3 linked regions of the Callithrix jacchus genome follow. The protein of the gene in region 1 purifies or fractionates together with the protein of each later gene. This does not show direct contact. Links are inferred from orthologs where the notes say so. Each region holds a gene or a part of one and is shown on either strand. Other genes may lie near its edges. The genes, in order: SIRT7, UBTF and MYBBP1A.

The links.
Region 2: the proteins of SIRT7 (region 1) and UBTF purify together in Homo sapiens (affinity purification with western blotting; 3 studies listed by BioGRID, with this or other methods). This does not show direct contact. The link is inferred for Callithrix jacchus from reciprocal best matches to the Homo sapiens genes SIRT7 and UBTF.
Region 3: the proteins of SIRT7 (region 1) and MYBBP1A purify together in Homo sapiens (affinity purification with western blotting; 3 studies listed by BioGRID, with this or other methods). This does not show direct contact. The link is inferred for Callithrix jacchus from reciprocal best matches to the Homo sapiens genes SIRT7 and MYBBP1A.

What each region holds. Positions count from the first base shown.
Region 1 is NC_133506.1:137,508,403-137,519,144, reverse strand, and holds SIRT7 (NAD-dependent protein deacetylase sirtuin-7), read left to right. Parts: upstream 1-3,659; 5' UTR 3,660-3,668; coding exon 3,669-3,761; intron 3,762-3,831; coding exon 3,832-3,969; intron 3,970-4,081; coding exon 4,082-4,186; intron 4,187-6,143; coding exon 6,144-6,214; intron 6,215-6,311; coding exon 6,312-6,384; intron 6,385-7,095; coding exon 7,096-7,194; intron 7,195-7,267; coding exon 7,268-7,504; intron 7,505-7,630; coding exon 7,631-7,711; intron 7,712-7,911; coding exon 7,912-8,018; intron 8,019-8,489; exon of another isoform or gene 8,490-8,575; intron 8,576-9,170; coding exon 9,171-9,369; 3' UTR 9,370-9,816; downstream 9,817-10,742. Other genes in the region: PCYT2 (ethanolamine-phosphate cytidylyltransferase), read left to right, coding at 10,361-10,449. UniProt on the Homo sapiens protein: NAD-dependent protein-lysine deacylase that can act both as a deacetylase or deacylase (desuccinylase, depropionylase, deglutarylase and dedecanoylase), depending on the context. Specifically mediates deacetylation of histone H3 at 'Lys-18' (H3K18Ac).
Region 2 is NC_133506.1:71,060,065-71,070,114, reverse strand, and holds part of UBTF (nucleolar transcription factor 1), read left to right. Parts: intron 1-1,141; coding exon 1,142-1,317; intron 1,318-1,859; coding exon 1,860-1,943; intron 1,944-2,040; coding exon 2,041-2,196; intron 2,197-4,532; coding exon 4,533-4,597; intron 4,598-4,877; coding exon 4,878-4,998; intron 4,999-5,355; coding exon 5,356-5,466; intron 5,467-5,802; coding exon 5,803-5,936; intron 5,937-6,061; coding exon 6,062-6,203; intron 6,204-6,481; coding exon 6,482-6,523; intron 6,524-6,669; coding exon 6,670-6,783; intron 6,784-6,872; coding exon 6,873-7,028; intron 7,029-7,340; coding exon 7,341-7,496; intron 7,497-7,575; coding exon 7,576-7,686; intron 7,687-8,335; coding exon 8,336-8,424; intron 8,425-8,528; coding exon 8,529-8,718; intron 8,719-10,050. UniProt on the Homo sapiens protein: Recognizes the ribosomal RNA gene promoter and activates transcription mediated by RNA polymerase I (Pol I) through cooperative interactions with the transcription factor SL1/TIF-IB complex.
Region 3 is NC_133506.1:68,224,085-68,234,134, reverse strand, and holds part of MYBBP1A (myb-binding protein 1A), read left to right. Parts: coding exon 1-6; intron 7-173; coding exon 174-269; intron 270-1,281; coding exon 1,282-1,365; intron 1,366-1,463; coding exon 1,464-1,538; intron 1,539-1,632; coding exon 1,633-1,746; intron 1,747-3,486; coding exon 3,487-3,662; intron 3,663-3,820; coding exon 3,821-3,988; intron 3,989-4,116; coding exon 4,117-4,234; intron 4,235-5,564; coding exon 5,565-5,860; intron 5,861-6,805; coding exon 6,806-6,916; intron 6,917-7,556; coding exon 7,557-7,682; intron 7,683-7,892; coding exon 7,893-8,060; intron 8,061-8,153; coding exon 8,154-8,253; intron 8,254-10,050. UniProt on the Homo sapiens protein: May activate or repress transcription via interactions with sequence specific DNA-binding proteins. Repression may be mediated at least in part by histone deacetylase activity (HDAC activity).

The sequences.
Region 1 (10,742 bases):
TACAAAGTTATTAATTATATGTTTAAAAGTTAAAGAAAAAAGCTGCAGAGTATTTATAAAACTGTCTTTTAGAAAAAAAAAAAAAAAGCAAGAAGACCATTTGACCATATCAATGGAAAAGGGAAGAAAGTATAATAGAAACTTTGCTAGTTAAAAAAGAAAAAAAAAATCCCTTTCTTGTAAACTTATGGACAACTCTTTGTGGCTGTTGGAATTTAGTTTTTATATACACAGAGTTATCGGACATTATTTATAAAACTTAGTTTAAAAAAAAGACAAAAAAAAAAAAAGCCAAGCCGTGAACCGACCAGAAGGCCGTCCTCTTTGATATCTTTTGCAATTGTACCGAAAGTGACTTACTCCTCTGCCCTTCCTGCTTCCGTCTCTTGCCGGTGCCGTGGTGTTGTCCGTGCCTGGTGAGGTTTTGTGCAGCGGTAAAGTGCTGGTGCTTCTGGTGACCTTTGACCTGTGGGTGTCACTTCTTGTGTCTGTTTTTCCGTGTTCGTTTTTTGGGTTTCATTGTGCTTTTGCTTCTGCTGGCTTGCTGGACCTGGGCTGGGGTGCCAGGGGGTACCTGCTTCGTCAGAGCTCAAGGAGTCTGTGCCCACCAGCAGTCCCTGATCCCTAGGAGGTGAGACGTGGGGCTCTGTCACGCTCACCCCATTGAACCTTGGCTACATCTATGTTTAGGGCTGGGGCTGATCCTGTGGCGGGGTAGGTGACATTGGGGGTCCCTTGGGGCCCCCCCACGCTGCTTCCACAGCCACCACCTCTGGCCTTGGGTGGTGGTGTTGCAGGGACCAAGGAGTCACTGTGGGTGGCCACAGGAGTTCCCTGGCTGTCTTCCTCTGGCCTCTTCACGTGGGGCCTCAGCTGGGAGCCCCAGGGGCACGCACCGTGGGCTGCAGGTTCCACCGCCCACTTGATCCCTGAACTGTTTCCATGCTGCAGGGTGCTTCCAGGCAGAGTGGTGGGTGGCTCCACCAGTGCAGACAAGGGCTACGATCTCCAGGGCTGGGTCTTATCCCTCTTCTCTGCTGGTCCATCCTGGCAGCACTTGGCTTCAGGCCTTCCTTCTGCCTCCCTTTGGGATCTGTCTTCCAGGGATCAGCTGCTTGGCTTCACTGGGGGTGCCTCCCTCTGGGGGCCCAGCCTGCCTCTTGCTCCCAGTTCCTCGACAGAGGCTGCTGCCCTTCCCGGCTAGGCTCAGGAGGCTCCTGGTAGGCATATGATGGGGAGAGGTGTCCCCACCCCAAGAGAGTACAGCCCTGTGTCTGGCCATGTAAACTTTGACCTTTCACCAGGGTTGCTGGTTTCTTCTCTATGGGGCCCAGTCCCCTGTAAAGCACAGAAATGTGGGCTGGTGAGATGAAAAACTGTGGCCGACAGGGCTTAACCCTGTGGGTGGTGGGATTTTCATCCAAGAGTTTGGCCTGGTGTGCCTGTGAGATGTGAACAGGGATGTACCATCAACATTTGTCTTAATGAGCTTCTCTTTGCTGTAGGTGTTCAGAGACAACTCTTGTTTCTACCTAGGCCAGCCTGAAAATCGAAATCTTGACTCTAGTCATTTAGTGACTTCATCCCCCTCTCCTCAGTCTAGTTTTGTCTAACTAGAATCCAGGCATTAGTTGGAATCATATCAAAAGTATCTATGAAGAAAATGTCATGATCTGCCTTGGAGCAGGAAGGAACAGGCCCTCCTTGTCCCTGTGTGGCCCCCACTTTTGTCCTGGCTGGGGGTGGCCATTCATTTTGAGCACCTCTGCCAGGCTGCAGACCTGGAGGCAAAGGGAGTGCAGAAGAGGAGGGTGTGAGGGTGGGCGCAGGCTGAATGGAAGGGGTAGTCCTTGACGTGTTGGCAGAAGAGGCCTCTGGAGTGTTGAGGCCATACCTCCTTTCAAGAGCTTTGAATTTGGAGCGACTTCCCTAGGTCTAGGGGAGTGTTCCTGTCTCCTGTCAGGCCAGCCCTGTGGAGCCACTCCATCCCTCTTCCCCTTCCTTGGGATTTCCTGACATAGATGCTGTGTTCATGTGCACATGTGAGTGTGCTGTCCTTCTGATAGCTTCATCCCGCTTTCCTACTGAGAAAAGGGTGGTGGCCTCTTCTCACCTCAGCTTTTCTGACACAGCCAATTGAGGGCTATGGCCAAGGCCAGGTCTCTCAAACTTGTCCGCCAAGTAAACCGTGATGTATGTCTTCCCTTCCACCTTGACTTTGCCCCAACTCCTCCCTTACCCTAACATGGATACTCAGATTTCAGAGAAATGCCTGGTGGGGACAGGTCAGCTCTCACCCAGAGAGTGAGGCCCTGGCTGCTGCTCCGGGTGGTGCTGGTGTTGCTGGGGCTTCAGCTCTTGGTGCATGTTTCAGATATGTGTGCATACTTCTGACCAGCAGCAGCAGCAGCAGCCTCAATAGTCAGTGCCCAGCCCACAGCCCTGAGGAGCTGCAGCCTGCTTTGGTACTATGGTAAGGTTCCATGTTGTCCTTGCTGCCTCCCGCTCTGGAGTGGCCACTTGACCAAAGCTTCCATCCACATCTGGAAAGTCTGAGCCTCGGCCTGCTACACCTTTTCCGCTCTGGGATCTTGTGTTACTTTTTTAGGCTGTGGTTTGGTGAAAGGAACCAACACATTAACGATTTTTCCCCCCAGAAGCCACTGAATAATTCTTTTGGCATAATTTTGCCTTCCTGTTGGCTGTCTGGCCTTGGAGCAGGTGGGGAGAGTGGAGTGCATAATCAGTGCCACACAGAGGCAGGGTGTGTCTGAGAGACCGATGCCTGGCCTGTCTCTGGCCTGTGTCCTGGGCGGGTGCTACACCTGCCAGACCAGTCCCCCACACATTTCCACCCTGCCCCTGGAGCAGCAGCTTTGATACCATGGGTGTCCCTTGAGTTTGAGATACAGTGTGAGAGTGTGTCCCCTATAAACTGTGAGACCTCCCTGTTCTTGGTGACCCCAGTTGGGCTTAGGCCCCTCCAGCAACCTGTGTCCCAGCCCTGCCCTTTTTCCCATCCCTCAATCTGCTAGTCCCTGAAGCCTTTAACCAAACGGGAGTGGGTTCAGAAAGCCTTCTCCTGGCAACTTAGGGCAGCAGGACAAGGGCTACCCGCATGTCCAGCCCTGTTGCTCTCCTGGCGCTGAGAGGTGGGTCCAAGCAGAGTTGATCAGTCCCTGCCTGCCCTGTCTAGGTCTAGCCAGGGTAGGCTGTGTGTGGGAGAGGACCTCGGGATCTGCTGGGGTGGGATAAAGGTTATTAAAGATCTAAGTGAGGAGGGGCTGGGGTTTGGATGCGGGCTGAGGCCCGAGAGCTCACACTTCGTGTAGGGCGGGCAGGGGCCTGACCTGCAGGGCAGTGGCCTTAGTGCCCCACCCCTGCCCTGCGCAGTATTTATTGCTAAATTATTGTCCAGGAGGGGCAGCACTGGGCCTGCCCCCCCCGGGTATTTATTGCTGTATATAGTGTATGTTTGTGATATATAAGGTTTTCTTTATTTTGTATATGATCAATAAACCTTTTAAAGAGACCGACAGGTGCTTCTTTGGAGTGACGCAATGGGCGGGGCCGGAAGGGGGGGGGCCTGGGGGCCCGGCTCACGCATGCGCCTTGGGAGCGGCCTGCCTTGTGAAGCGGAAGCGGAAGCGCGGGTCTCCAGGGGAGCCATGGCAGCTGGGGGTCTGAGCCGCTCGGAGCGCAAAGCGGCGGAGCGGGTGCGGAGGCTGCGGGAGGAGCAGCAGCGGGATCGCCTCCGCCAGGTACGCATCCGCCGCTCCCCGGCCCACCATGCCCGGCCGCCGCTGCCGCTCACCGCCCGCCTGCCCGCAGGTGTCACTCATCCTGAGGAAGGCGGCGGTGGAGCGCAGCGCGGAGGAGGTCCGGCTGCTGGCCGAGAGCGGGGACCTGGTGACGGAGTTGCAGGGCCGGAGCCGGCGGCGTGAGGGCCTAAAGCGGCGGCAGGAAGAGGTGAGTGCAGCGCGCGGAGGCCGCGGGCGCCTCGGGTTTCGGGAGCAGCTGGGGCGACGGACGGCCCAGGGTGGAGCGACCCGGGGCGGTGACCACCTTGGCGTCTCGACAGGTGTGCGACGACCCGGAGGAGCTGCGGGGGAAAGTCCGGGAGTTGGCCAGCGCCATCCGGAACGCCAAATACTTGGTCGTTTACACAGGCGCGGGAATCAGCACGGTAGGGAGGAAGGCAGGGATTGGTGGGGGGTGCCCCTTCTGGGAGGTGGACCCCAGGACGGTGTATGCGCTCCAGTTGGTTAACTCCCCAATCGTGAAAAACTCATCTTTAAAGCAGCTCTAAGGTTTTTTCCTTTTTTAGAAAAACACGAAACGACCAAAACTTACCTAAGGTAAAGACTTCTTAAATGCTTGGCCTCTATTACAGCCAGTTAAAAACAAAAAAGCAGATATGAATGGGATGTAGTAGCCAACTGCTCTCAGGCACCCCCAGGTTATGTGGACAGAGCTAAGCCCAAAATTGTCTTGTGATTCTCCACTCTGTTCTCTGCATGTTGAGGGAAGATAAAAAGAAAGTGACACAGTAAGAGTCGGACTATACCAGGTAAAGGAGAGAATTGCAATGCGTTTTGAGAAGTTTCACTGACAAGCTCTCCTGGGCTGTGAGACATCACTAGCTTCGAAAATGTAGCTGGCACCTTGTCCATCGAGTCTAATGGGTGAGCATGGAGTGCTAGGCACGCCTGGGTATAGCAGATCTGAACGCCAGGTGATTTCTGTTCTCAGGAAGCGTTTAGATGACAAGAATCAGGCATGTGAACAAACAACTGTAAGGTAAAGCTGGCTGTGCTAGATCACTAGAACAAACCCAGACAAACACACTGTCCTCATGGAGTTGAGAAACCCATCTGTGTTGGCTTTTTGTGGGAGGTGGCCATGAGTTGGGCCTTGAAGAAAAGAAGGTGGGAATGAGGCACTACAAGCAAATAATAATAGAAGCTCAGCAGCAAGAATGCAGAAAAGGAGTTCATTGCTAACTTAGATACCTGGAGCCCTTGGGGTTTGGGTCTCCTACCGCCACAGTCATGTGTGAAAGTCCAGTCATGCTGGGCGCGCTGGCTTACGCCTGTGATCCCAGCACTTTGGGAGGCTGAGGCGGACAGATCACGAGGTCAGTAGTTCAAGACCAGCCTGGCCAACATGGTGAAACCCTGTCTCTACTAAAAATACAAAAATTAGCCAGGCGTGGTGGCGGGTGCTTGTAATACCAGTTACTTGGGAGGCTGAGGCAGAAGAACCACTTGAAACCGGAAAGTGGAGGTTACAGTGAACCGACATCTTGCCACTGCATTCCAGCCTGGGTGAAAGAGCAAAATTCCATCTTGAAAAAAAAGTCCAGTAATATAATTATATAGCAATCATGTGACCTCTTACAGAGAACTTCCAGTGGCAACTGAGAGCACATGCAGCTCGTGGATTTCATGTTACTGTTTGAGGTTCCCCTCTTGAATGTGACTGTCTGAATACTGCTGTCCAGGGCGGGTGTGTGTTTCTGAGTTTAAGCAGGAGTTGGGAGATGACTTCCCCAGTAGGAAACACAAGACACCTTTATCCTGGCATGTCTTCTCAGTCCTTCTCTGGGCCTCAGTTTGTTTCACAGGATTGGAAACCTGGGAAGTTAGATGCTTATCTCATCTGGAGAGGTGGTTCTGCTTTTGTTAAGGTGGAGCAGGAACCCTTAGCATCTGGATATGAGAATGGACATTTGCCTGCCCCCACCTAGGGATTCACCATTTGCTAAATGTGTGAGCTGTGGGCTCGGCCCTGGGGATGCTTAGGAACATGACTTGTCTTCCCCTGCCATGTGAAGGACACATGTGCCACAGAGCCCAGCTTTGTGCTTGGTGCCAGAAAGGCTCCCAGAGACAGGCAGGGCTGTGTTTAACCTGGAAGGATAAGCTGGGCCAGGCAGGAAATGGAAGTCCAGGTAGAAGGGAGGGGCCAAATTGCGGTACACACCATATGGGCTCAGGTTGGTCAGCCTGTGGAATGCATAGAGGCCAACGTGCAGGCCAGCCCGGATGCAGCAGGAGGGACAGTGGCTCCCTGTTTCTGGGAATTCTGCCAGTACCTACAGTGGTGCCTTTACTTGGCTTGCCTTTTTTCTTGACATGCAGGCAGCCTCTATCCCAGACTACAGGGGCCCTAATGGAGTGTGGACGCTGCTTCAAAAAGGGAGAAGTATTAGGTAAGTGGGCCAAGCGTGGCCTCCCACATGGGCTGAGCAAGGGCAGTGTGGGCCTGAGCTCCAGCTCCCTTCACCTTGCCTTCCCTCCGCCTGGTAGTGCTGCTGACCTGAGCGAGGCTGAGCCAACCCTCACCCACATGAGCATCACCCGTTTGCATGAACAGAAGCTGGTAAGAGCCCAAGGCGGCTGGTACACTTGGCAGAGCATCTTGGTGCTCAGTGGACAACTGCATCCTGCCTCTGTCTACCGCTTGACTCCCATGATGAGCACCCACCAAGTGGGTTAGACCCCGGGTTGGATCCTCCCCCTGCTTCCTCTCCAAGACAGAAGGGCAGCGCCCCCTCTGAACCATCTCATCCACAGCCAGCCTCAGACCCAGAGGTGCCAGTGGCCTTTCCCCTTTGTGATTCCTTTGCATTTTTCTGTGGATCTCAGAAGCCATCCTAGTCACAGGGGAGGCTTGTAGGAATTCTCTGGGGACCTTCTGCTGAACACCCTCAACCAAGGCACCGGTAGGGGTTGATCTGCTTGGGTCCGAAGGGACCTGAAACATCATGACCCACAAGAGCATGGATCCAGAGCAAAGTGACCCTTGCCAAAGCCCCAAGCCACTTCCCAACCTTGCTGGGACGGTACAGCCTCTTGCCCTCCCAGCCAATCTGGGTGCATCAGGGCTGGAGGGAAGGGCACAGCGCCACCCACCATAGGCCCTCTTGAGTCTTGGTGGTTGGTCCTATTGTGTGTTGTACTTTCAAAGGCTCTCTGTGGGGTTGGAGTTGTTCCTGGTCTTGGGAGCCATCAGCTGGGTTCAGAACAGCCTCTCTGTGGCCTTGTTTTGATATCCCCACCCTCTGACAGCCCTTCCCATTCCACCTTCCAGGTGCAGCATGTGGTGTCTCAGAACTGTGACGGGCTCCACCTGAGGAGCGGGCTGCCACGAACGGCCATCTCAGAGCTCCACGGGAACATGTACATTGAAGTGAGCAGTCCTAAGGGGACCCGGGAACTCCACGGGCAGGCGGGTCCCACTCACTGTGCCCTCTCCTCTTCAGGTCTGCACTTCCTGCGTTCCCAACAGGGAGTACATTCGGGTATTCGATGTGACGGAGCGCACCGCTCTCCACAGACACCAGACAGGCCGGACCTGCCACAAGTGTGGGGCCCAGCTCCGGGACACAATTGTGCACTTTGGGGAGAGGGGGACGTTGGGGCAGCCTCTGAACTGGGAGGCGGCAACTGAGGCTGCCAGCAGAGCAGACACCATCCTGTGTCTGGGGTCCAGCCTGAAGGTGCGTGCCAACGACACCATGAATGAGCTGAGCCCCCACCTGCCCAAGGGTGTCCAGCTCTGCAGCCCAGCACTCTACAGCCTTGTCCCTTGTGTGTGTGCTGTGTCTGTCCGTCTGTTCCCACAGGTTCTAAAGAAGTACCCCCGCCTCTGGTGCATGACCAAGCCTCCTAGCCGGCGGCCCAAGCTCTACATTGTGAACTTGCAGGTATCTCGGGTGCTGAGAGCCACATGCTCGGACCTGGGCCTTAGAATGCAGAGCCAGAGACACCCATGCACCAGGGCAGTCTGATAGGGTCCCCCGTGGGTGTTCAGGGAGCAACGACCGAGGCCACCTGGGCCGAGGCTGACAAGCCACTAGGAAGGATTGGGCTGCTTTTACCCTCATTTGGCTTTCCCTGTCCTCAGTGGACCCCAAAGGATGACTGGGCCGCCCTGAAGCTACATGGGAAGTGTGATGACGTTATGCGGCTCCTCATGGCCGAGCTGGGCTTGGAGATCCCTGCCTATAGCAGGTGAGTGGGCCTCCGCAGCAGCCCGTTTACCCGCACCTCATGTGCTGGGCCTTGTCTGTCTTCTTTCATGAGCTGAGCGTGGAGGAGGCTCTGAGGTGTTCGCAGCGATGTCTGAGGCGTGACTGAGGCGTGGTGGTCTCCAGAGGGCCTGACCTTGGTGTTTGGCCGAGACTATGCATGGGCCACTCGTGCGCCAGCTGATGGTGCACAGAATCCCTAAGGGGAGAGGGATTCTGCCCGCATGCTGCTGCTCCAGGCCTCCCCATGGAGCTCTCTGAGATGCCTGGTGGGAAATGTCTCGAGGGGACGTGCACTCAGCAGTCTGGTCAGACAGAATCTGTGCTTGGTTTTGGGAGTTGGCGTATTTTGGGAAAGCTTAAACTTGTGCTTTAATACAGAATTTGTGCTAATTTAGACTTGGTGTATGTATTGAGTAAAAAGTTTACACTCTCTTTCTCTGTGAATTTTCAGGGTCTTATAGGGGAAATCAATAACTTCTTTTAATCAAAGGGTTCAAGAATTAAGGATCCCTTCGCCTTCTGGGCCTGGCACTTCTTGTATGTTATGTGTGTGGTGTTCTGTGATGTGGGCTATCGTGTACTGTATTTTTTTTTTTTTTACATTAACTTAGCTCATTTTCCTTATCAGTGCTTATCTGTATCTTAAGTTATGATCTGTGGTTCTACATCTCAGTAAGACACATGGTTTCTTCACGGTGTCGTCTGTAGGCCACGCCTCCCTAGTCAGCTGGGAAAGGGGAGAGGGTCTGGTCCACCTGCCCCTGGCCTTACAAGTCAAAGGTGGGGCCCAGAGTTGCTAGTGACTCATCCCTGGAGACGGAGGCAGCCCTGGGGCCACTGCTGCCCCGCCCTGTGTGTGCACGCTGCTCAGTGGTGGATGAGGACACGGAGTTCTGAGGAGACCAAGCTAGCTAATGTGGGCACTGACCTTTAGTGACACCTGAGAGGTGACCTCTCCCACATCCGTTCTGCAGCTTGGTAACAAGCTGCCACCAACTGGAGCCCAGCCGCGGTTGACACGGGAGGGAAGGGGATGGGAAGGCAGGGACCGCAGACAGCTTTCCCGAGCTGGGGAGGGTGTGACTTCGAGAGGCTCCCAGGCCTGCCTGATGCAGCTTTCCCTTTTTGGCAGGTGGCAGGATCCCATTTTCTCACTGGCGACTCCCCTGCGTGCTGATGAAGAAGGTAGCCACAGTCGGAAGTCGCTGTGCAGAAGCAGAGAGGAGGCCCCACCTGGAGACCGGGGTGTACCACTTAGCTCAGCCCCCATTCTAGGGGGCTGGTTTGGCAGAGGCTGCACAAAACGCACAAAAAGGAAGAAAGTGACGTAACCTGGTGCTCAATGAAGAACAGCTGGCACTTTGCAAATGGCCAGTGTCACGGTGAAGGCTGGGTTGTCCCACAGGTCTAATGAGAACTTTGGGGATGACGTTTTCACCATGACATCTTTAGCCATTTGTCCTTGCAGAAGCCCCTTGCACTGCTGCGGTTGTCTCCTGATACAGCTTGGCCATCCTCTATGTCAAGAGGTGGCAGCCGCCCCTTTCTGTGAGAACGGAACTCGGGTTATTTCAGCTCTGGCCCGCAGAGGAAGCGCCCAGCTGCCTTCCCTCATTCACCAGGCCAGTCTCAGGGCCTCACCCCATTTCTACTACTAATGAAAAAGTGTGAACTTTATAAAACCCTCTTTCTGTACTGAATGTGCGGTGGAGGGATGGCTCCGAGCCTCGGCTCTATGCAGACCTTTTTATTCCTATTAAATATTTCTCTGCACTGGCCTCCAGTGTCCGCGAGTGGTTGTCGCGGGCTCCCCAGGCGCAGGTCCACTGCCTGGCAATGTGGTCCTGGCTTAAAAACTCCACAATGATGAATATTATTATGCCAAAAAATAACAAGGAAAAAAAAAACCCTGCTTGGGACAGCGCCCCGTGGGGGTTCATGGAGGCGGCGGCGGCGGCGGGACCCCCCGCGCTCCGCACTGCCAGGCCCGCCCTTTGCCAGGAGTAGGCGGTGCGGAGAGGCCAGGTGTGGGCAGGGGGCGGGGCTCTGGCCGTGCGTGTGGGGGGGCGGGACCGTCGGGGTCTCACGCTATTGGCCGTGCGCGGAGGTGCGGTGGGGCGCAGCCTTCGAGGGCGGGGCACGGTCCGGAGTGCCCGTCGCGGGTCCGGGACGGCGGAGGCGGGACTCGGGTCGGCGGCTCACACCATTGGCTGTAAGGAGCGGGTGAGGCCCGCGTGACGGCGGTTGCGCATGCGCCAGGCGGGCGGCGGCGCTCGGAGTCGCCGGGAGCTGCCAGGCTGGCTGCGCCGCCGCTGCGGAGCCATGATCCGGAATGGGCGCGGGGCTCCTGGCGGCGCAGAGCAGCTGGCCCCGGAGGGCAGACGCGCTGTGCGGGTGTGGTGCGACGGCTGGTGAGCACAGGGCCGGGGCGGGCTGTGGGGTCGCCGGGGCCGGCTTCTTTTCGGAGCGCTGAGCCGGCCGTTACACGGGGACCGGGCCCCCGTTCCAGGTAGCGTCCGCGTCCGGCGTGGGCCGGGGCTGCCAGGCTGCGAGGCGCGCCCGCCGGGAGGGTCGGGCTCCAGAGGCTTCGCGCCCTATCGTGGGCGCCCCCGTCTGTCCGTGGCGGAGGCCTCATCCGGTCGCGACGACCCATCCAGTGCAGCCACCGCGCTGAGATCTGGAGCGAAGGCCTCCCCGCTTCTCC
Region 2 (10,050 bases), about 66 Mb from region 1:
GGGAGAGGGGATTATGGGTCCATGTGACCTGCTCTGCAGAAACCCTGGCCCAGGTTAGGAGATGCAAATGAAAATGGAGAGGAGCCCTTTTGACTTTTGGCCTTGGGTGGCTATTCTCCCAGCCCATCCGCAGAAGCCTAGAGTGCTCTCTGGAGCTGCATTTCCGTGGCTGAAAATAGCTAGTCCAGACCTGGTCTTGCTTCCCTGGGGAGTTGGGCTGACAACACAGCTTGTTATTCTGGGGGTTCTCCCTGGAGCAGGGCCCTGAGAGCTTTTGTGCACCTGCCTCCCTTACCTCAGAGCTGCTCTGTATGCTGCTTCTGTTTCTGTTCCCTTTTTCTTGTTTGCCAGAAATTCTTCCTTGATCTACGCTGAGGGGCCTGGGGGTGGAGGTGTCTCTAACACTGGTTTCCATCTGTGCAGCGCAGACATCTGCATGGGTTTTCCTTACTGCCCACACCCCCTTCTCAGTCCTTGCATATTTAGGGTATCCTAAACTCGGAACTTGAGCTTGGCCACACATTTAGGTATATTGCCTCCCTGCTTCCCACCTTCTCTGACAAGCTACCTGTTTCCCACAAAGCCCTGAATCACTATACCTTCATACCCACTCCTCTTCCCTTACAATAAATAGCTGCTGGTAGCAGCCTGGCACGGGAGAAATGATAATAACTTTGAAGCAAGCCAGACTTGTGTTCAAGCCTTGCTTTTTTTTTTTTGAGACGGAGTTTCATTCTTGTTGCCCACGCTGGAGTGCAATGGTACCATCTCCACTCACTGCAACCTACACCTCCCAGGTTCAAGTGATTCTCCTGCCTCAGACTCATGAGTAGCTGGGATTACAGGCGTGTGCCACCATACCCAGCTAATTTTTGGGTTTTTAGTAGAGACAGGGTTTCACCATGTTTGCCAGTCAAACCTAGCTTTCTAGGTATGGCATGTTCTGGACTGGAGTCCCTGCCTTGATCCAATATGGCCACAGTTGGCTTAGAACTGAGTTACGTTTTATCTCTGCCTTCAGATGGGAAGCAACCAGGGGCTGGGATTTCCTAGGGAAAAAGGGTTGAGCACTCAATAACTGGGGAACAGAATAGGGGGATAGCATGAGCCAGGTACGATGGCCTCTGTTACCCTTCACCAGATCGCTGGTCCCAGGAAGACATGCTGACTTTGCTGGAATGCATGAAGAACAATCTTCCATCCAATGACAGCTCCAAGTTCAAAACCACCGAATCACATATGGACTGGGAAAAAGTAGCATTTAAGGACTTTTCTGGAGACATGTGCAAGCTCAAATGGGTGGAGATTTCTAACGAGGTAACTGATCCCCTTCCTGACACACATGTATACACATCTCCACATACACCTACCTCAGCTGTGGTGGGGGGAAGTGAAATAGCCAGCTGTAAACAGGAAGGAAAGAGACCAGGAGAGGTGTTTGTGTGGTCGCCTGCTAGCTCTCTACCTGCCCTTGTGCACTTTGGGAGGTGGTGTGGTTGACAGCACTGGCTTAGAGTTACGCCACTTTCTATCGGTCTTGAGCCAAACAGCCTGAGCTGTGCTGAGATTGAAGGAGGTGCTGGCATGGAGAGCCAGGTAGAGGTCATGTCGTCCGCTTGTTGCTGGCCTTTGGTGTGCACTGACTGCCTGGGCCTCTGCAGTAGGCATGGGCCAGGGCCTGGGTGTCATGCTGCCTGCTTCATTTGGCTGTTGGCCTCTGCTCTTTGGTAACTTTAGTCCAGTGAAGAGTAGAAGAGACCCGTTTCAGGATGGGAGTACCCGTGGTAAGATAGGGATATGCTACTGTGTGGCATTTTCCTTTTCTCAACTTCCCCTCCTTTCCTCTCCTCTTCCTCCAGGTGAGGAAGTTCCGTACATTGACAGAATTGATCCTTGATGCCCAGGAACACGTGAAAAATCCTTACAAAGGCAAAAAACTCAAGGTGAGTTACTAGAAAGAGGCGCATGAAGGGTAGGGGAGGAAAGGTCCAAATAACAGATGGTATATGACCTCCATTATGTCCTTGTCCCTCCTTCCAGAAACACCCAGACTTCCCAAAGAAGCCCCTGACCCCTTATTTCCGCTTCTTCATGGAGAAGCGGGCCAAATATGCGAAACTCCACCCTGAGATGAGCAACCTGGACCTAACCAAGATTCTGTCCAAGAAATACAAGGAGCTTCCAGAGAAGAAGAAGGTGGGGGGAGGAGAGCTAAGGTGGGAGGAGGGGAGAGGCTGGGAGCAGCTGGGGTGGTGTGGGTCAGTTGGAGGTAGGCCTTGGAGGGACCTGGCATCGGGGACAGGTGAGTCAGCACAGCAGAGTAGGTCCTGGGCAGTCACACCTGATTGCCCCTTCCTCAGCCCACAAGTGGTCAGGCATGGGCACCGTCACAGACGTAAACCAGACAGCAGGTGCTCAGGCCAACCTTTCCCCCTGTAGAAAACCCACAGTGTTTTGTTTTATAAGGCTCTCCCCCATCCACCCATCCTCACTGTCAGGCTGCACAGCACTTCTTCCCTCTCTGTGACGCTTCCTGTCATGGTCTCATTTGATACTTGCAGTGTTTTCGAAAAGGAAACCCAGGAAAATGTTATCCCAGTTTTGTGTGCAGGAGGGTTACGTGGCCTGAGTGACACAACTGTTAATGCTATAGCAGGATAGTGTCCCAGAGTCCCAGCCAGTGCTCTTACTGCCACGTCCACCTGTGAAGTACACCTCTCCACACACACACATGTTCACTCAAGGACACACATTGCCCCTCCTGGCCTCATGCTCTTCCTTGCAGAGGTCGGGCACTGTCTCAGACCATCAAAGCATTAACCCTGAGCAGGGGGTTGCCCAGGCCTCCCAGGCAGGGCTAGAAGCAGTCACACACACAGCTCAGGGGTTCCCTCCTAGAGATAGGCAGCAAAACACTGGAGGAGCCTGCAGATAGGACACGAGAAACATGGGATGGGGAGAGAGGACCCAAGGAAGAGACATTGGATGAGGAGACAGCCAGGGATAGATGGGAATGACAGCAGGAAAAACAAGAAGCACATCTGCTTGGCAAGGAAACAAAGTCATACACAGCCAGTTCTCAAAAGATGACGCTGGCAGCCACCACGCTGTGAGTAGCCCTCTTTCCTGGTTGGCATACCCTCGCTGCGGATTCACATGCGCATGGTGCTGTACCCAAAAAGAAGCCAGCTGTCTGCAACCTCTGCCCAAGCAGAGCAGGGGTATGGAGTGCTGGAACTGTTCTTGGCCCTTTTGATGAGGATGTTGGACAGTTGACCACACATACCCAAATACTCTCATGGGATGGGAGGGAGAGGCCAAGAGTCTGAGAGCCAGGGAAAGCCAGAAGAAACCGGTAGAGTGGACGAGGTGCTGGCCTGGGGGACACAAGACTTGGGCCTGTTCTCCTGGCTCTGAACTCGCTGTGTATGGGGTCTTTGGTAAGTCACTCCGCTTCTCTGGGCCTGGTCTTTATGTGAGGTGAGCCAGGTCTGTGTGGTGCCCTCCAGCTCTGAAACTATTTTGTGAGGAGGACTGAGCTTGGGGAAGAGGAGGCTGAGCTCTGCTTCTGGTTTTCTGTGAGAACTGGAGGGAAAGGTGCTGCCTCTCTATGCCTGGTGCTTCTCTAAGAGGCAGGGGTTGGGCTTAATTGCCATGAGCTCCTGGCACCTTCCAGTGCCACTCTTGTGAGCCTATGAAGGCAAAAGAAGAGATAGACATTATGTGGGAGCCAAGAAAGGAGGTAGATATGGAATAAAAAAAGACGGATTACAAGAGGGAGGCCATGGAGAGGTGGGCAAGGATGCAGGGAGGGAGGGAGGTGGGGGTGGGAAGGGGGTGAGGCTGAAAAGGGGGTGATGAAGGGAAGTCAAGTGGTGGGAGAGAATGAGTGGGCTGAGGGAGGGAGGGAGGGTTGGAGGATCCAGACAGCTGGGATCCTGGAGAAAAGGAGGAAGGTGATGGTGTCAGAACTGGACAGGAAGGCGCAGGGCTCCTGGCCGTGGCTTGTATTGTAAGAACTCTGGGTTTCCCTCCACACAGTAGTCTCCTCTCATACTTTGGAAACAGGACTCAGCCCAGCCCTGGTCCTATGTAGAGGCCACCTCCAGGGGTACAGGCTAATGTCAGCTGCCACAGACAATAAGAGAGTGATGGGAGCAGGGCCTGCACCTGACTCCACTGGGTATTTTGTGGTGGTGGAGAAATGGGTGGGGGAGCGCCAGCACTGCCACTGCGTACTGCATGACTGGGTAATGCCACGGCCCCCTTCTCTGACTCTCCCTTGCAAGGAGAGAATAGGATGTAGGATTTAATGTCTGGGTGACCCCTGCAGCTCCCACCATCTGTAGTAGAAGCCAGCAGGTCTCCTCTGTGATGAGTCCCGCGGGGAGGTGGGCAGGGTGCCAGCCTCCACCCCTGCACCACAGCATAGGAGGCCGCAGAGAGCGCACAAGGAGGGGTCTGGGTGGCTTTCTTAGCTCAGGGTGAGATATCCTTGGGTCCTGGGTGACCCCATCCCCTCCTCCCCTCAGATGAAATATATTCAGGACTTCCAGAGGGAGAAACAGGAGTTCGAGCGAAACCTGGCCCGATTCAGGTAAGGCAGTGGAGCCCAGAGGAGGGCTACGGGCACTGGGTACAGCTGAATAGGCTAACCCTGGCCAGAGCCTGGAGTTTGCCGTCTCTGAGGCATGGAAGAAGGATGGGTCACATGTGAGCCCTAGTGTGTCATGCTCAGAGGGGCAGGGACAGTCAGGCAGCCACCGTCCCACTGAGCCACAGCTGAAAGGCCAAGGAGGCTTGGTGGGTGGGGCAGCTAGCTTGGGTCTGCCCTGGCAGCATCCCCTGCTGATCCTTGCTCCCCATGTCCTGGCTAGGGAGGATCACCCTGACCTAATCCAGAATGCCAAGAAATCGGACATCCCAGAGAAGCCCAAAACCCCCCAGCAGCTGTGGTACACCCACGAGAAGAAGGTGTATCTCAAAGTGCGGCCAGATGTGAGTGTCCGGCCAAGGGTTGGGGGTGGAGGATGCACGGTGGTGGCCAGGGGGGAGCCGCGCCAGGTCGGCTGGGCACGGTGCAGGGGAGCAGGAGAGGAGGCCCCTCCCCAAGGGTGGGCTGCATGGACAGGGCCTGGGCCAGCTGGCGTGCGAGCGTGTGCGTGCGTGCGTGCGTGTGTGAGCCAGTCCCCTTGTACCCAGGCGGGATCCCCGCCTCTCCACCTTCCCCTCCTGGCCTGTGGGGGACACTGATGTGACCTCCCATGGCCTGAGGGGGCGGGGGCCTCTGTGCCCCCTTCCCCCCCCCCCCCACTCCTGGCTGCTTGTGCGTGTCTGACGGCTTTTGGTTTGCAGGCCACTACGAAGGAGGTGAAGGACTCCCTGGGGAAGCAGTGGTCTCAGCTCTCGGACAAAAAGAGGCTGAAATGGATTCATAAGGCCCTGGAGCAGCGGAAGGAGTACGAGGTTAGGCTTCCGCTGCGCTCCTCCCCGTCCGGCTCTTCACGAGCCTCTGCCCTTCGACTCCGTGGCCACCGCACTCTGCGGAAGGTGTCACTCCCCATTCCTCTTTTGAGGGAGGGGCCTTCTGGGCCCCTTGCCTCTGCCCCTACCTTCCCCACCCCCCGCCCCATGAGATCTCAGGCTAGGGCAGGGCAGGGCACCACGTCTCGTGTGACACTGCTGACACACAGCCACCCCCAGCTTTGCTCCCTGCCTGCCCTCCCCAGCGGCTCTCCCCCTACCCCTGCCCCAGCTAACTCCACACCACGTTGCCCTCCGTCCCCCCACCTGGCTCTGCAGGAGATCATGAGAGACTATATCCAGAAGCACCCCGAGCTGAATATCAGTGAAGAGGGTATCACCAAGTCCACCCTTACCAAGGCCGAACGCCAGCTCAAGGACAAGTTTGACGGGCGACCCACCAAGCCACCTCCGTGAGCGCTGCCCTGGGGTGGGTGGGCGAGTGGGTAGCTGGGGAGTTGGGTCGGACTCTGTGGGCGAGGAGGCCTGCCGCCCTGCTCACTCACGGGCTGCACCTCTCCCCCCACGGCTCCGATAGGAACAGCTACTCGCTGTACTGCGCAGAGCTCATGGCCAACATGAAGGACGTGCCCAGCACAGAGCGCATGGTGCTGTGCAGCCAGCAGTGGAAGCTGCTGTCCCAGAAGGAGAAGGATGCCTATCACAAGAAGTGTGACCAGGTGAGCTGTGGCAGGGGCCGTCCTGCCTTGGGGTTTTGAAGCATGAGGTCTGACCCCAGCTTGGGCCAGTCAGTTCTTGGTGGCATATACCTCAGGTACCTGCTTCCATTTGGGTGTTGGGCTGGGCTGGGCTGGGCTCAGAGCTGAGCCCATCCAGGCAGGGAGTCCAGCCCACACCCAGGCTCTGGAGGCCCATTGAAGGTCACTGTCCTCCGAGTACTGCAGGGTCTCTGGTGACGCTGTCTCCAGACTGATCCTGACTCCACTCACTTTCCCAGAAAAAGAAAGATTACGAGGTGGAGCTGCTCCGTTTCCTCGAGGTGAGTGTTCCTCCAGTAGGGCACTGGGCAGAGAGGACTGGGGCTTGGCAGGCAGAGCCCTAGTGAGCCCCTGGGGATAGGGCACCATTCAGCCCTATAGGGCATGGTGCCAGCCATGCAGCCCCATGCTCTTCTCTCCTGCCCAGAGCCTGCCCGAGGAGGAGCAGCAGCGGGTCCTGGGGGAGGAGAAGATGCTGAACATCAACAAGAAGCCAGCCACCAGCCCTGCCTCCAAGAAGCCAGCCCAGGAAGGGGGCAAGGTGGGCAGGGGGCACGGCCATGCAGGCGGGGGTGGGCAAGACGGCTCGCTGGCAGCACCCACGGACCCTGACCTTTTTCACCTGGACAGGGCGGCTCTGAGAAGCCCAAGCGGCCAGTTTCGGCCATGTTCATCTTCTCCGAGGAGAAGCGGAGGCAGCTGCAGGAGGAGCGGCCTGAGCTCTCAGAGAGCGAGCTGACCCGCCTGCTGGCCCGAATGTGGAACGACCTGTCTGAGAAGAAGAAGGTCAGCCTGCCTGGCAGAGAGCCGCTGCCCCCAGGGGGCCTGCCAGGGCCCATCTTCCCCTCGGCGGTCCGTGCCACCTGGCCGCCTGGGCCTCGCGGTGCCTGGGCTGGGATGTGGGGCCGGCGCCCAGCAGCCGGAAGGCGGGAAGCTGTCAGCTGAGCGCCACGGGCCAGGTCGGGGCGAGCCCTGGGCTGGAGACAACTGCACCAGCCCACCGCTCTGCCCGCCCCGCGGGTGCGCCTCGGCTGCTGCACGGGGAACGCGCGCCCCCTAGGGGTGGACCGAAGGCTGACGTCCCGGCCCTCCCCGTAGGCCAAGTACAAGGCCCGGGAGGCGGCGCTCAAGGCACAGTCGGAGAGGAAGCCTGGCGGGGAGCGTGAGGAACGGGGTAAGCTGCCTGAGTCCCCCAAGAGAGCTGAGGAGATCTGGCAACAGAGCGTCATTGGCGACTACCTGGCCCGCTTCAAGGTAACAGGGGTGGGACAGGACAGTACTTCAGCCTTTAGCCCCTGGTGACCCCACGGCTGATACCCTTATCCTTCCCCAGAATGACCGGGTGAAGGCCTTGAAAGCCATGGAAATGACCTGGAATAACATGGAGAAGAAGGAGAAACTGATGTGGATTAAGAAGGCAGCCGAAGACCAAAAGCGATACGAGGTAGTAATGGGGTTGGGGCCACCCCATTCACTAAAAGCTTGGGGGCTCCCCTTTGGGTGGGCAACTCTGAGCCAGAAGGCCTAGCCTTGATCTGTTACCCTTAGCAAGGCTCAGCTTCCTTCTCTGAACCCATGTCTCTCAATGCTAGCCCCCAGGCTGACTCAGGAGGCACAGTTGTAAACTGTGGTGCCTGCCAGAGACCTGAGTTGTTAGGAAGTTGCTCACTAGTTGTGCCTGTTTCTTCTCCTCCCCGGCACAGAAAAGACAGAGGCCGGGCACGGTGGCTCACGACTATAATCCCAGTACTTTGGGAGGCCCAGATGGGTGGATCACAAGGTCAGGAGATCGAGACCATCCTGGCCAACATGGTGAAACCCCATCTCTACTAGAAATACAAAAATTAGCCGGGCATGGTGGCGTGCACCTGTAATCCCAGCTACCCGGGAGGTTGAGGCAGAAGAATCACTTGAACCCGGGAGGTGGAGGTTGCAGTGAGCCAGGATCATGCCACTGCACTCCAGCCTGGGTGACAGAGCGAGACTCCCATCTCAAAGAAAAAACAGCCAGCCAAGGTGCTGATGGCATGGGGCAGAAGGCAGCAGTATTTTGGGGGTGGGACTGGGGTTGAGTGTGACCTTTCTCCCTCCAGAGAGAGCTAAGTGAGATGCGGGCACCTCCAGCTGCTACAAATTCTTCCAAGAAGATGAAATTCCAGGGAGAACCTAAGAAGCCTCCCATGTGAGCCTGGGGGTTGGATCCTGCCCTGGGGGTGGGGGACGGTCAGAGCTGGAGGACTGCTTTGTTGGGGTCCTGACCCTCCTTGTATCACCCCCACCTCCCAGGAACGGTTACCAGAAGTTTTCCCAGGAACTGCTGTCCAATGGGGAGCTGAACCACCTGCCACTGAAGGAGCGCATGGTAGAGATCGGCAGCCGCTGGCAGCGCATCTCCCAGAGCCAGAAGGAGCACTACAAAAAGCTAGCCGAGGAGCAGCAAAAGCAGTACAAGGTGCACCTGGACCTCTGGGTCAAGGTGAGAGGGCAAGGGACCCTTGGAAGGAAGAGGGAGGCATCGTGCTGGCTGGTCTCATGATTTCATTCCATGCCCTCACAGTCCTGCAGGATAACCATTACTATTACCCTTTTATTTTTATTTTCTGAGACAAGAGTCTAACTCTCTCACCTAGGCTGGAGTGCAGTGGTGTGATCTCAGCTCACTGGAACCTCCACCTCCCAGGTTTAAGCAATTCTCCTTCCTCAGCTTCCAGAGTAGCTGGGGCTACAGGCGTATACCACCACACCCGGCTAATTTTTGTATTTTTAGTAGAGACAGGGTTTCACCATGTTGGCCAGGCTGGTCTCGAACTGCTGATCTGCCCACCTTGGCCTCCCAAAGCACTAGGATTACAGGCTCAAGCCACTGTACCCGGCCACCATCACCCTTTTAAAAATAAGGAAACCAAGGTTCAGAGAGGTTAAGTAACTTGCCCAAGGTCACACAGCAAGTAGAAGAATCCAAATCAGATTGCCTCCCCCATCCGGGACTACAGGGCCTCTCCTAGACTTCTGGCCTTTATGCTTCCCAACTCTGTGCTTTGGTAGTCAGATCTGTAAAGTGGAGAGAATCACCTGTGTCCTTCCCAGTCACCAGGACAAGTTAGCCAAGGACCCAGGAAGATTGTGGGGATTTGCTGTTTCAGGAGTTTGACGAGCTCCACTGCCTCATCGGTAGCTCAAGGGTTTGGTGTTGGGGTGTGGTTGATGATGCCAAGCTGACTCATCATGGGGGCACTTCCTTGAAGTGAGGAAGACTCTGGTAGGAGCGTCCATTTGCGTAGAGCAATGGGGAGAATGTTTAGAGAAGGACTCAGCATCAAAAGCAGAAATATTAGAGCTTGGGCCAGTGCAGTGGCTCATGCCTGTAATCCTAGCACTTTGGGAGGCTGAGGTGCGAAGGATCACTTGAGGCCAGGAGTTCAAGACCATCCTGGACAACATAGCGAGACCCCTGTCTCTACAAAAAATTTAAAGTTATCCTGGTGTGGTGGTACATGCCTATAGTCTCAGCTACTCTGGAGGCTGAGTTGAAAGGATCACTTGAGCCTGGGAAGGTCAAGGCTGCAGTGAGCTGAGATTGTGCCATTGCACTCCAGCCTGGGTGACAGAGCAAGACCCTGTTTTAAAAAAAAAAAGGATTGGAGCTGTGTTCTCAGTTCCCAGGGGCTTTCTGCAGAAACCCAGAGTCTAGGGAGCCTGGGAGGGTGAGGTGGGGTGATGATATGTAAATGCTCAGCCCACTGCCCCAGCGCTGGGCCAGGATGCTCAGTCAGCAGTGGTTGGCTGTGTTCCAACCCTTGTCACCTCT
Region 3 (10,050 bases), about 69 Mb from region 1:
CCGAAGGTGGGGCGGCGGGTTTGGGGCAGGGGCCGCGCACTTCCCGCAAGGAAGCGGCGGCGGGCCCAGGGATTTGGGATGGGGGCAAGTGGTCGCGAACCTGGATGCCAAGGTGCGCGGGGGTGTGCAGCTTCTTGTCACCGTTCAACGCGAGCATGCGCTTGGTTCCGCAGGGGTCCGAGATGAAATACGCCCTGAAGCGGCTCATCACGGGACTCGGGGTCGGGCGAGAAACAGCCCGGCCCTGCTACAGTTTGGCCCTGGCCCAGGTGAGGTGGTGTTCCTGGCAGGATCCCAGCCACGCAGGTGAAAACGGTGGGGTGTGCGGAGGGCGGGTGTCTCAGCGCGGCGGAGGGGCAGCCCGGAGAGAAGTGTAAGCTGATTGGAGGCCAGTCTGAGGGAGCCTCCTCACAGGAAGGTGGAGAAAGCATAAGCAGGGCCTGTCTCCAAAGCAGTCCAGGCAGAGGGAGTGGAGAGCGGAGCAGGTTTTCTTTCTGGTGCTTGGGTTACCCGGACTCTTAGGTACACTTGCTGGGAGCAGTGAGCGCTGGGTGGGGTGGGCTCCCTTAGGGGGCATTCAGCTGATTGGAGTAGCCCACTCTCTGAGGAGCCCTGACAAGGGGAAGAGCAGTTAAGACGCAGGCTCGCCGGATCAGCCTGAGTGGAGCTCAGACCAGGCTGTGGAGAGAAGACCCAGTGGCTGAGAATTTCAGCAGAGCAATCTAGGGGCTGTAGAAGGTACTTTTGTGGCTGGGAGCGGTAGTGGCACACACCTGTAATCCCAGCACTTTGGGAGGATGAGGCGGGTGGATCACCTAAGGTCAGGAGTTCGAGACCAGTCTGGCCAACAGGTTGAAACCCCATTTGTACTAAAAATACAAAAATTAGCTGGTGGTGCACACCTGTAATCCCCAGCTACTGTGCGTGCTGAGGCAGAAGAATTGCTTGAGCCTGAGAGGTGGAGGTTGCAGTGAGCTGAGAACACAACACTGCACTCCAGTCTGGGCAATGAAGCAAGACTCCATCTCAAAAAAAAAAACTGCCCTGGCCCCGTCCCAGTCCAGTCCCAATCCCAGAACCACTTGCAGACGGTACTTTGGAAGCCCACAGGAGTGGAGATGTGGCAGGGAGGCAAGATTCGTTTCCCTGAGAGCAGCTTCAGAGGCATTCTTGGGGTGCGACTAGGCACCTGAGGCTTCTTGGGAGGAGTTGAAGGAGGAAGGGAGGTTGAGGTGTGAGGATGTACTGGGCCACTTCCTGAGCCCCTGTTCCTCCTGGCAGCTGTTACAGTCTTTTGAAGACCTCCCTTTGTGCAGCATCCTGCAGCAGATGCAAGAAAAATATGACCTGCATCAGGTGAAGAAGGTGAGAGTGGGCCTGGGGAGGTCAGCAGCCCCGGGGGTGAGAGGCTGGGGGTGGGAAGTCCCACGGCCCCTCATGCTGTGCCTGGAATCCTCTTCTAGTCAATGGTGAGACCTGCTCTCTTTGCAAACCTGTTCGGAGTGCTCGCCCTCTTTCAGTCAGGCCGGCTGGTGAAGGTGAGAACTTTGGGAGGGCCAGGGGATGTAGGCTGGCCTTGGATGGGTGGGGGACAGTAGCAGTCCCTGCTCATACCCTCTACCCCTCTGTGAGGACCAGGACCAGGAGGCACTGAGGAAGTCAGTGAAGCTGCTGCAGGCCCTGGCCCAGTACCAGAACCATTTGCAGGAGCAGCCCTGGAAGGCCCTGGTGGACATTCTCTCCGAGGTATGAGCTCACCAGCCTTGCGGGTTCTGGAGACACTTCCCGCTACAGAGACATCAAGAGGGCTCAGATGAGAATCAGGAACAGCACTGTTCCATAGAAATATAAAGGCATATAATTTGAGGTGTTTCAGTGACTTTGTTGAAAAGGTAAAAAGAGGCTGGGCATGGTGGCTCATGCCTGTAATCTCAGTACTTTGGGAGGTGGGCGGATCACCTGAAGTCGGGAGTTTGAGACCAGCCTGACCAACATGGAGAAACCCTATCTCTACTAAAAATAGAAAAAATTAGCCAGGCATGGTGGCGTATGCCTGTAATCCCAGCTACTTGGGAGGCCGAGGCAAGAGAATCGTTAGAACCCAGGAGTTGGAGGTTGCAGTGAGCCAAGATCACGCCATTGCACTCCAGCCAGCCCAAGCCATATAAGAGCAAAACTCTGTCTCACAAAAAAAAAAAAAAAAAAGGTAAAAAGAAACAGATGTCATTAGTAACATTTTACATCATTTAGTATATCTAAAATATTATTTCAATATGCATTTGTATACAAAACTGTTGAGCTGGCCGGGCACAGTGCCTCATACCTGTAATCCCAGCACTTTGGGAGGGTGAGGTGGGTCAATCACAAGGTCAGGAGTTTGAGACCAGCCTGGCCAACATGGTGAAACTCTGCCTCTACTAAAAATACAAAAAATTAGCCAGGCATGGTGGCAGGCACCTGAAGTCCCAGCTACTCAGGAGGCTGAGGCAGGAGAATCACTTGAACCAGGGAGGCAGAGGTTGTAGTGAGTTAAGATCGCACCATTGCACTTCAGCCCAGGTGACAATATGAGACTGTCTCAAAAAAAAAAAAATCGTTGAGGTATCTTCACTCTTTTTTTCAGTGTGTTTCAAAATCCAGCGTGTATTTTACACGGCACATCCCTGTTCAGATTTGCCGCCTTTCAGGCGCTCAGCAACCCCATGTGGCTAGTGCCGCTCTAGAACTGAACCTGACACGTGGCAGGTATATAAAACGTTTGCTGTTGCCGTCCTGGTCAAGGCTGGTCCCTCGTGGGCCTCCACTGCCCAACTTGGGAAGGTATACCTATGCCTTTTTGCCACTGAAGAGAAAGGCAGGGGCTGGCAAGTCCCAGACCAGGGCATACCAAGGAGTCTTGACCTCAGCGCCAAAAGGACCTGAATTCAAATCCCAGCTGTCTACCTAGGGCCCCTTGTGTATAAAATGGGCTAGTCCTCTGAAATCCCAAAACCAGGAATGAGTAATGGGTAGCTCTGGCCAGGTGCCATGGCCCACAACTTTAATCCCAGAACTTTGTAAGGCTGAGGTGGGTAGATCACTTGAGGTCAGAAATTCGAGACCAGCCTGGCCAATATGGTGAAACCCCATCTCTACCAAAAATACAAAAATTAGCTGGGCATGGAGTTGCACACCTGTAATCCCAGCTGAGGTAGGGGAATCGCTGGAACCAGGCAGGTGGAGGTTACAGTGAGCTGAGATCACACCACTGCACTTAGCGTGGGTGGCAAAGCAAGACTCTGTCTCAAAAAAAAAAAAAAAAAAAAAAGGGCAGGTAGTTCCGGGCCAGTTAGCATCAGCAGGGTGCTTGTCAAAAAACCTAGCTGCCTAGGAATTTGAGTATTTTAGCAAATGGTCTCTGATGACTCTGGTGCCTGGCAGGTAAAAGAGGCCTCACTGGGCTCACCCGGCAGAGGAAGCCACCATTTCTTACCTCTCCACCCTTAGGTCTCGGAGGCCACATTGGAGGAGATGCTGCCAGAGGTCCTCAGCACTGACTTGGATGCCATGTTCAGCTGCCCTGAACAGCTGGGGCTCTTCCTCCTGGCCCAGCAGAAGGTGCCCTCTAGGCTCAAGAAGCTGGTGGGATCCATCAACCTATTTTCGGATGAGAATGTTCCCAGGTGTGAGGGAGGTGGATGAATTTGCTCTCTCTGGGGCCATAAGACTGCATCTGGCCAAGCCCAGATTGGCCGTGTGGCCTGGAAGTGCCCCGGCTGCTCTTGGCACCCTGGCCCTTGCTGGTAAGGCAAGCGTTCCCTGAGTCGTCTGCCCCCCACAGGCTGGTGAACGTGCTAAAGATGGCAGCGTCCTCCGTGAAGAAGGAACGCAAGCTGCCCACTGTCGCTCTGGAGCTGCTCCACCTGGCACTCAAGGAAAACGAGTTTCTGCGGTTCTGGAAGGGGGTGGTGGAACAGGGGCTGCTGAAGCTGCAGTTCTGGCCAGCCAGGTGCGTGTGGCACGTGGCCTCTCTCAGCCCCCTTCCCTGTCTGTGAAGTGGGGCTGGGCCGCCAGTCCTGATGTCCCTGCCGGGGGACCAAGGGCTCTGACCATGCTCTGTCCCACACTCCCTCTTAGCTACCTGTGTTTCCGCCTGCTGGGCGCCGCCCTTCCCCTGCTGACCAAGGAACAGCTGCAGCTGGTGATGCGGGGAGACGTGATCCGCCATTACGGGGAGCACACGTGCACAGCCAAGGTGGGCAGGGGCTCTCCTTGCCAAGAAGGGGAGAGGGCACCTCAGGGCCTGGCCAGAGACCTGGGCGTGTCCACTGTCTGAGCTGTCTGAACCCCTTCCCCTCTGACAGATTGTTTTGAGTTGGAGTTTTCTCTTGTTGCCCAGGCTGGAGGGCAGTGATGCAATCTGTGCTCACTGCAACTTCCGCCTCCCGGGTTCAAGCAATTATCGTGCCTCAGCCTCCTGAGGAGCTGGGATTACAGGTGCCCACCTCCACACCCAGCAAATTTTTGTATTTTCAGTAGAGACAGGGTTTTGCCATGTTGGCCAGGCTGGTCTCAAACTCCTGACTTCAGATGATTCACCCGCCTCGGCCTCCCAAAGTGCTGGGATTACAGATGTGAGCCACTGCGCCCGGCTTCCCTCTGACAGTTTTGAAAAGGAGCGGGCCCCCACTTGAGCCAGACCTCCCTCCACCCCCGCCCATGTTGCGGTGATGAGAACAGTCATCGTGACCGTGTTTAAGCACCGGTGTGCCTGGTGCCCAGTCAGCACTGCTGGGTTTACTGTTCTCAGCAGCTCATTTTATCTTTGCAGCAAGTTTCCAAGAGCTGTCATTCTGGGTGGGGGCAGACTTGAAGCATCAGGCAGTGATTTAGAGCCTGCGTTGGACAGTGGTGTGCAGCTGTAGTCCCAGTTACTTAGGAGGCTGAGGTGGGAGGATCACGTGAACCCAGGATTTCGAGGCTGCAGTGAGCCATGATCATGGCACTGCACTCCTGGGGCACAACTGGAGAAAATTACAATGAGAAGAGCTTGGGCTGTGAGGCAAGACGTGGTCCCACTGGGAGCCCTCTGACCCTGAGAAGTTTTATTCTACGTTTTTGTGCCTCACTTTACTCACCTACACAATGGCAGTAATGGCCAAGTGCAAAGGGTTGCTAAGATGCTGAGCTGCCAGACAAAACGTGGAGCACGGGTCCTGGCACCTAGGCAGCACGTGAGAGGTGGTTGGGTAGGTCCCGAAGATGACACAGCGAGGAATTGGCGGCATAGGCCTTGAACCCGGGTCAGCCTAGCCTCTTAACCACGGCTCTGCCTGTGCGTTGAGCCAGGAAAACGGGCCATCCCCACCCAGCAATGTGGCGAGAGGGACCTTCTGGGGCCAAAGGCACTGAAGCTGGGGAAGTCAGACCCGGGGAGGCCTTGACGCCAGACAGAAGCACTGGCGTGACCAGGAATGGAGCAAGCTCAGGCTCAGCCCTGCTGTGTGCAAGGGGAGACCCTGGGCCTCGGTTTAACCCTAAAGGCCGCAAGCTTATGGGCTCAGTGCCGTGCCTAACTCTTATAGCTCCCAGACCAGTTCAAGTTCGCCACGGAGATGGAGGAGTACGTGGGCACCTTCCTAGAGGGATGCCGGGACGACCCTGAGCGGCAGCTGGCTGTGCTGGTGGCCTTCTCCTCCGCCACCAACCACGGCCTCCCAGTGGTGCCTACCTTCTGGCGGGTCGTGCGGTTCCTGAGCCCTCAGGCCTTGCAGGGCTATGTGGCCTGGCTGCAGGGCATGTTTCTCCAGCCGGACCTGGACTCCTTGATTGACTTAAGCACCGACAACCCGAAGAAAGCTCAGGATGCATCACAGCACATGTGAGTGGACCGTGCAAAGGACCTGTCCTTCAGGAGTTAGCTTCCCTAGCCTGCAGAGCCCAGCGATCCCGCCACCCCCACCCCCCACCCCCGCCCTCGGTGTCCTGGCTCTAAACCATGAGCAGAGAGAGGGGAAGCACCATAGCTCTCAAACGAGACCTTGGTTTCCTTGTGAGGTCCTGCACTGGCAATTGGGAAGGGGAGAGCTTGGTTTTCTGTCTCTTGAGATCAGTTAAAGGAATGTCATGTTTCTGCTAGTTCGTTCTTTTTTTTTTTTTTTTTTTTTTTTTTTTTTTTTTTTTTTTTGATACAGTCTCACTCTGGCCTAAGCTGGAGTGCTGTGGCATGTAATCTCAGCTCACTGCAAATTCTGCCTCCCAGGTTCAAGCGATCAAGCGACTCTCTGCCTCAGCCTCTCCAGTAGCTGGGACTACAGGCACCCATCACCATGCCCAGCTACCTTTTGTTTTTTGAGATGGAGTTTCCCTCTTGTTGCCCAGGCTGGAGTACAATGGCACAATCTCAGCTCACTGCAACCTCTGCCTCCCAGGTTCAAGTGATTCTCCTGCCTTAGCCTCCCAAGTAGCTGAAATTATAGGCCTGTGCCACCACACCCAGCTAATTTTTTGTATTTTTAGTAGAGATGGGGTTTCTCCATCTTGGTCAGGCTAGTGTTGAACTCTCAACATCAGGTGATCCGCCCACCTCGGCCTCCCAAAATGCTGGGATTACAGGCGTGAGCCACCGCACCCGGCCTTAATTTTTGTATTTATTGTGGAGATGGGGTTTTATCATGTTGGCCAGGCTGGTCTCGAACTCCTGTGACCACAAGCTATCCACCTGCCTCGGCCTCCAAAAGTGCTGGGATTACAGGTGTGAGCCACTGGGCCCAGCCTGCTTTTGCCAGTTCTAAGTGGCTCACATGACCTCGCCCCTGCACCCCAGGCCTAAGCGAGCTGTGTTCCGGCTGCGGAAATGGATCATCCTTCGACTGGTGAGCCTTGTGGACAACCTGTACCTGGAGATGGAGGAGGCCTTGACGGAGGAGGTGGCCAGGTATGAGAGGTGCTGGAGCTTCCTGCAGGCATGTGGTCAAGGAATTGAGCCCCTCAACTCGTCCTGATTTGTGTCCTCTGGAGCCAGAAACCTTTGGGTTGAGTCATCAGTGGGGAGCAGGCACAAGGGGACTTGGAAATTCCTCAGGAGCCTGTAGGGAGGGGACCCAGGAGGTACCCCAGCTGCAGGCACCTAAGAGGTTTGGGTGTGCTGTGCATGCCCTGCAGGGAGCCTTTGCCCAGGGAATGCCTCGTCTGTGCCCGAGCAGAGCCAGGTGCTCACCTCGCCTTCAGCATGCCCGGTTGCAGGAGGGGGCTGCACTGGCCCCATGTTTGCAGGAGCAGTGGCGTGACTCGGCCGTGACCACACAGCCTCACATCTCTTGGTTCCTTGAGAGGGGCACTGATTCTCTCTCCCTAGCTCAGGTTGAGCCATGTTCAGCTGGGGATTCAGCCCTTCCTGGCCCAGCCACCTCCAGCCTTGCCCGTGAGGGCCCTGAGGACTGTACCCAGAGCAGAAGGGGACAGAAGGGCCCCCCTCCTCCTCCTGTTCTTGAACCCTGGGTGGTGCCACCAGGGGAGGGGAGCCCGTGGAAACAAATGGCCGTGAACGGCACCAGCTGCTCTCCCGCCTGCCCCAGGTTTTGTTTGTTCCACTCGTTCTTCGTCACAAAGAAGCCCACATCCCAGATCCCGGAGACAAGGCAGCAGCTCTCCTTCCCTTTGGAAAGCCAGGCCCGAGAGGCCGTCAGCAGCGCCTTCTTCAGGTGAGCCTGGGGCGGCTCAGGAGAGGTCCGAAAGTGGGAAGGTCTTCAGGACGCCTGCTCCCTGCAGTTCCCCTACGCTGGGGACAACGGCCGAGGCCCAGGGAGTTCTAGCAGGTCCTGGAGAGGTGGGAGACCGAGCCCTGGGGAGGGCGGAGGGAGGTGGCTGTATTCACTTATCGGTCTGGTGACCAAGCCCTGCCCATCGCCCAGTCTGCTGCAGACCCTCAGCACGCAGTTTAAGCTGGCACCAGAGCAGACCCGGGGCGGGCAGCCCTGGACCTACCGCCTGGTACAGTTTGCAGACTTGCTGCTGAACCACAGCCACAGCGTGAGCCTTGTGACACCCCTCACTGCACAGCAGTGCCAGGCCTGGGACCGGTGAGCGGGTGGGATTTCCGGGGGGGGGGGGTTGGCAGGACCCTGTGGTCTGATGGCAGCTGGGGTCTGAGGGATCTGCCTGGCTCCCTGCAGGATGCTTCAGACTCTGAAGGAGCTGGAGGCCCCCTCCTCAGAGCCCAGGGCTGCTGCCTTCCAGCACCTTCTGCTGCTCGTGGGCATCCACCTCTTCAAGGTACTGTGGCCTGGGACGGAGGGGCCATGAGCCTGGGGTCCTGTGGCTATGAGGGCTATGGGGGGGAGCCAGGAAAGGCTTGGGGAGTTATGTTGGGAGGTTTCCTAAGCCAGCCTCAACATGAGTGGAATTATCACCAAGGAAACATCACTCCGGCCCCTTAGCAGGCACCAGCTGGTGTCCTGAGCTTTCCAGGCAGGCCTTCTTAATCCCCACAACTTGAGGCAGACTCTACTTCTCCATGTTTGACATGGGGAAACTGAGACTCAGAGGCAGAGTAGCTTGCACTGTACCTTCTGGCTGTGGGAACACCTTCTGGCCACGGGTTCTCTAGAACCACAGGGTCTCCCTCTCAGTTCTTCCCATCAGGAAGCCCTGACCACATTCAACACTCACCTGATTCCTTTTTTGTTTGTTTTTTGTTTTGAGACAGAGCCTTACTCAGGCACCAGGCACCAGGCTGGAGTGCAGTGGCGCACCCTCAGCTCACTGCAACCTCCGCCTCTCGGATTCAAGCAATTCCCCTGCCTCAGCCTCCCCAGTACCTGGGACTACAGGCGTGCGCCACCACGCCCAGCTAATTTTTTTGTATTTTTAGTAGAGATGGGGTTTCACCACATTGGCCAGGATGGTCTCAATCTCTTGACCTCATGATCTGCCCGCCTCGGCCTCCCAAAGTCCTGGGGTTACAGATGTGAGCCACTGCGCCCAGCCATCTGTTTGTTTTTTGAGATGGAGTCTTGTTCTGTTTCCCAAGCTGGAATGCAGTGGCGTGATCTTGGCTCATTGCAAGCACCGCCTCTCAGCTTCAAGCGATTTTCCTGCCTCAGCCTCCCGAGTACCTGGGATTACAGGTGCCTGCCACCGCGCCTGGGTAATTTTTGTATTTTGAGTAGTGACAGGGTTTCGCCATGTTGGCCAGGCTGGTTTTGAACTCCTGACCTCAGGTGATCCGCCCACCTTGGCCTCCCAAAGTGCTGGGATTACAGGTGTGAGCCACTGCGTCTGCTCTTACCCTGATTCTTAGAGAGTTTTCTTCTCACAACAAGGGAGGCTCTTATCGAGGCTGGTGGTCTTATGTAGCCTGAGTAGATGGGTCTCTCACTTGCCGGTCTGGCCACTTGGCTGTGGTGGTTTTATTTGCCAACTTTGGTTATTCTGAGCCCAGCCTGTGGATGAGCTATGTGGGTAAAGGTTGCCGTGATGCCCCTTCTGAGTGTTGGCATCAGACTTTGATAGCAACGGAGCCCTGCTGATTCCAGGACACACGTGGAGCCTGCAACCTTGGGCTCTCTGGTCTTGGCTTGCACAGAGAAGGCTGCAGTTTGCTGTGCCCATCTTCAGATAAAAGGTGCAGCTGTGGCTGGGTGTGGGGCTCACACCTGTCATCCCAGCAGTTTGGGAGGCCAAGGCAGGCGATTCACCTGAGGTCAGGAGTTTGAGACCAGCCTGGACAACATGCTGAACCCCATCTCTACTAAAATACAAAAATTAGCCTGGCGTGGCGGCAGGCGCCTGTAATCCCAGCTACTCGGGAGGCTGAGGCAAGAAAATCACTTGAAGCCGGGAGGCGGAGGTTGCAGTGAGCTGAGATTGCACCACTGCACTCTAGCCTGAGTGACAGAGCAAGACTCTCTCAGAAAAAATGAATAAATTAAAAAGGTACGGCCCGGAAGTCAGGGACCTGCACTGCACACAGCCTGGGAGCCGGGGGCAGTGACCAGGGCTTTGGGCTGCTTTTCCCACCCTGGCCTAAACGTTTCGTTGTGAAGGGAAAGTCTGCCTTTTAGGTACCAA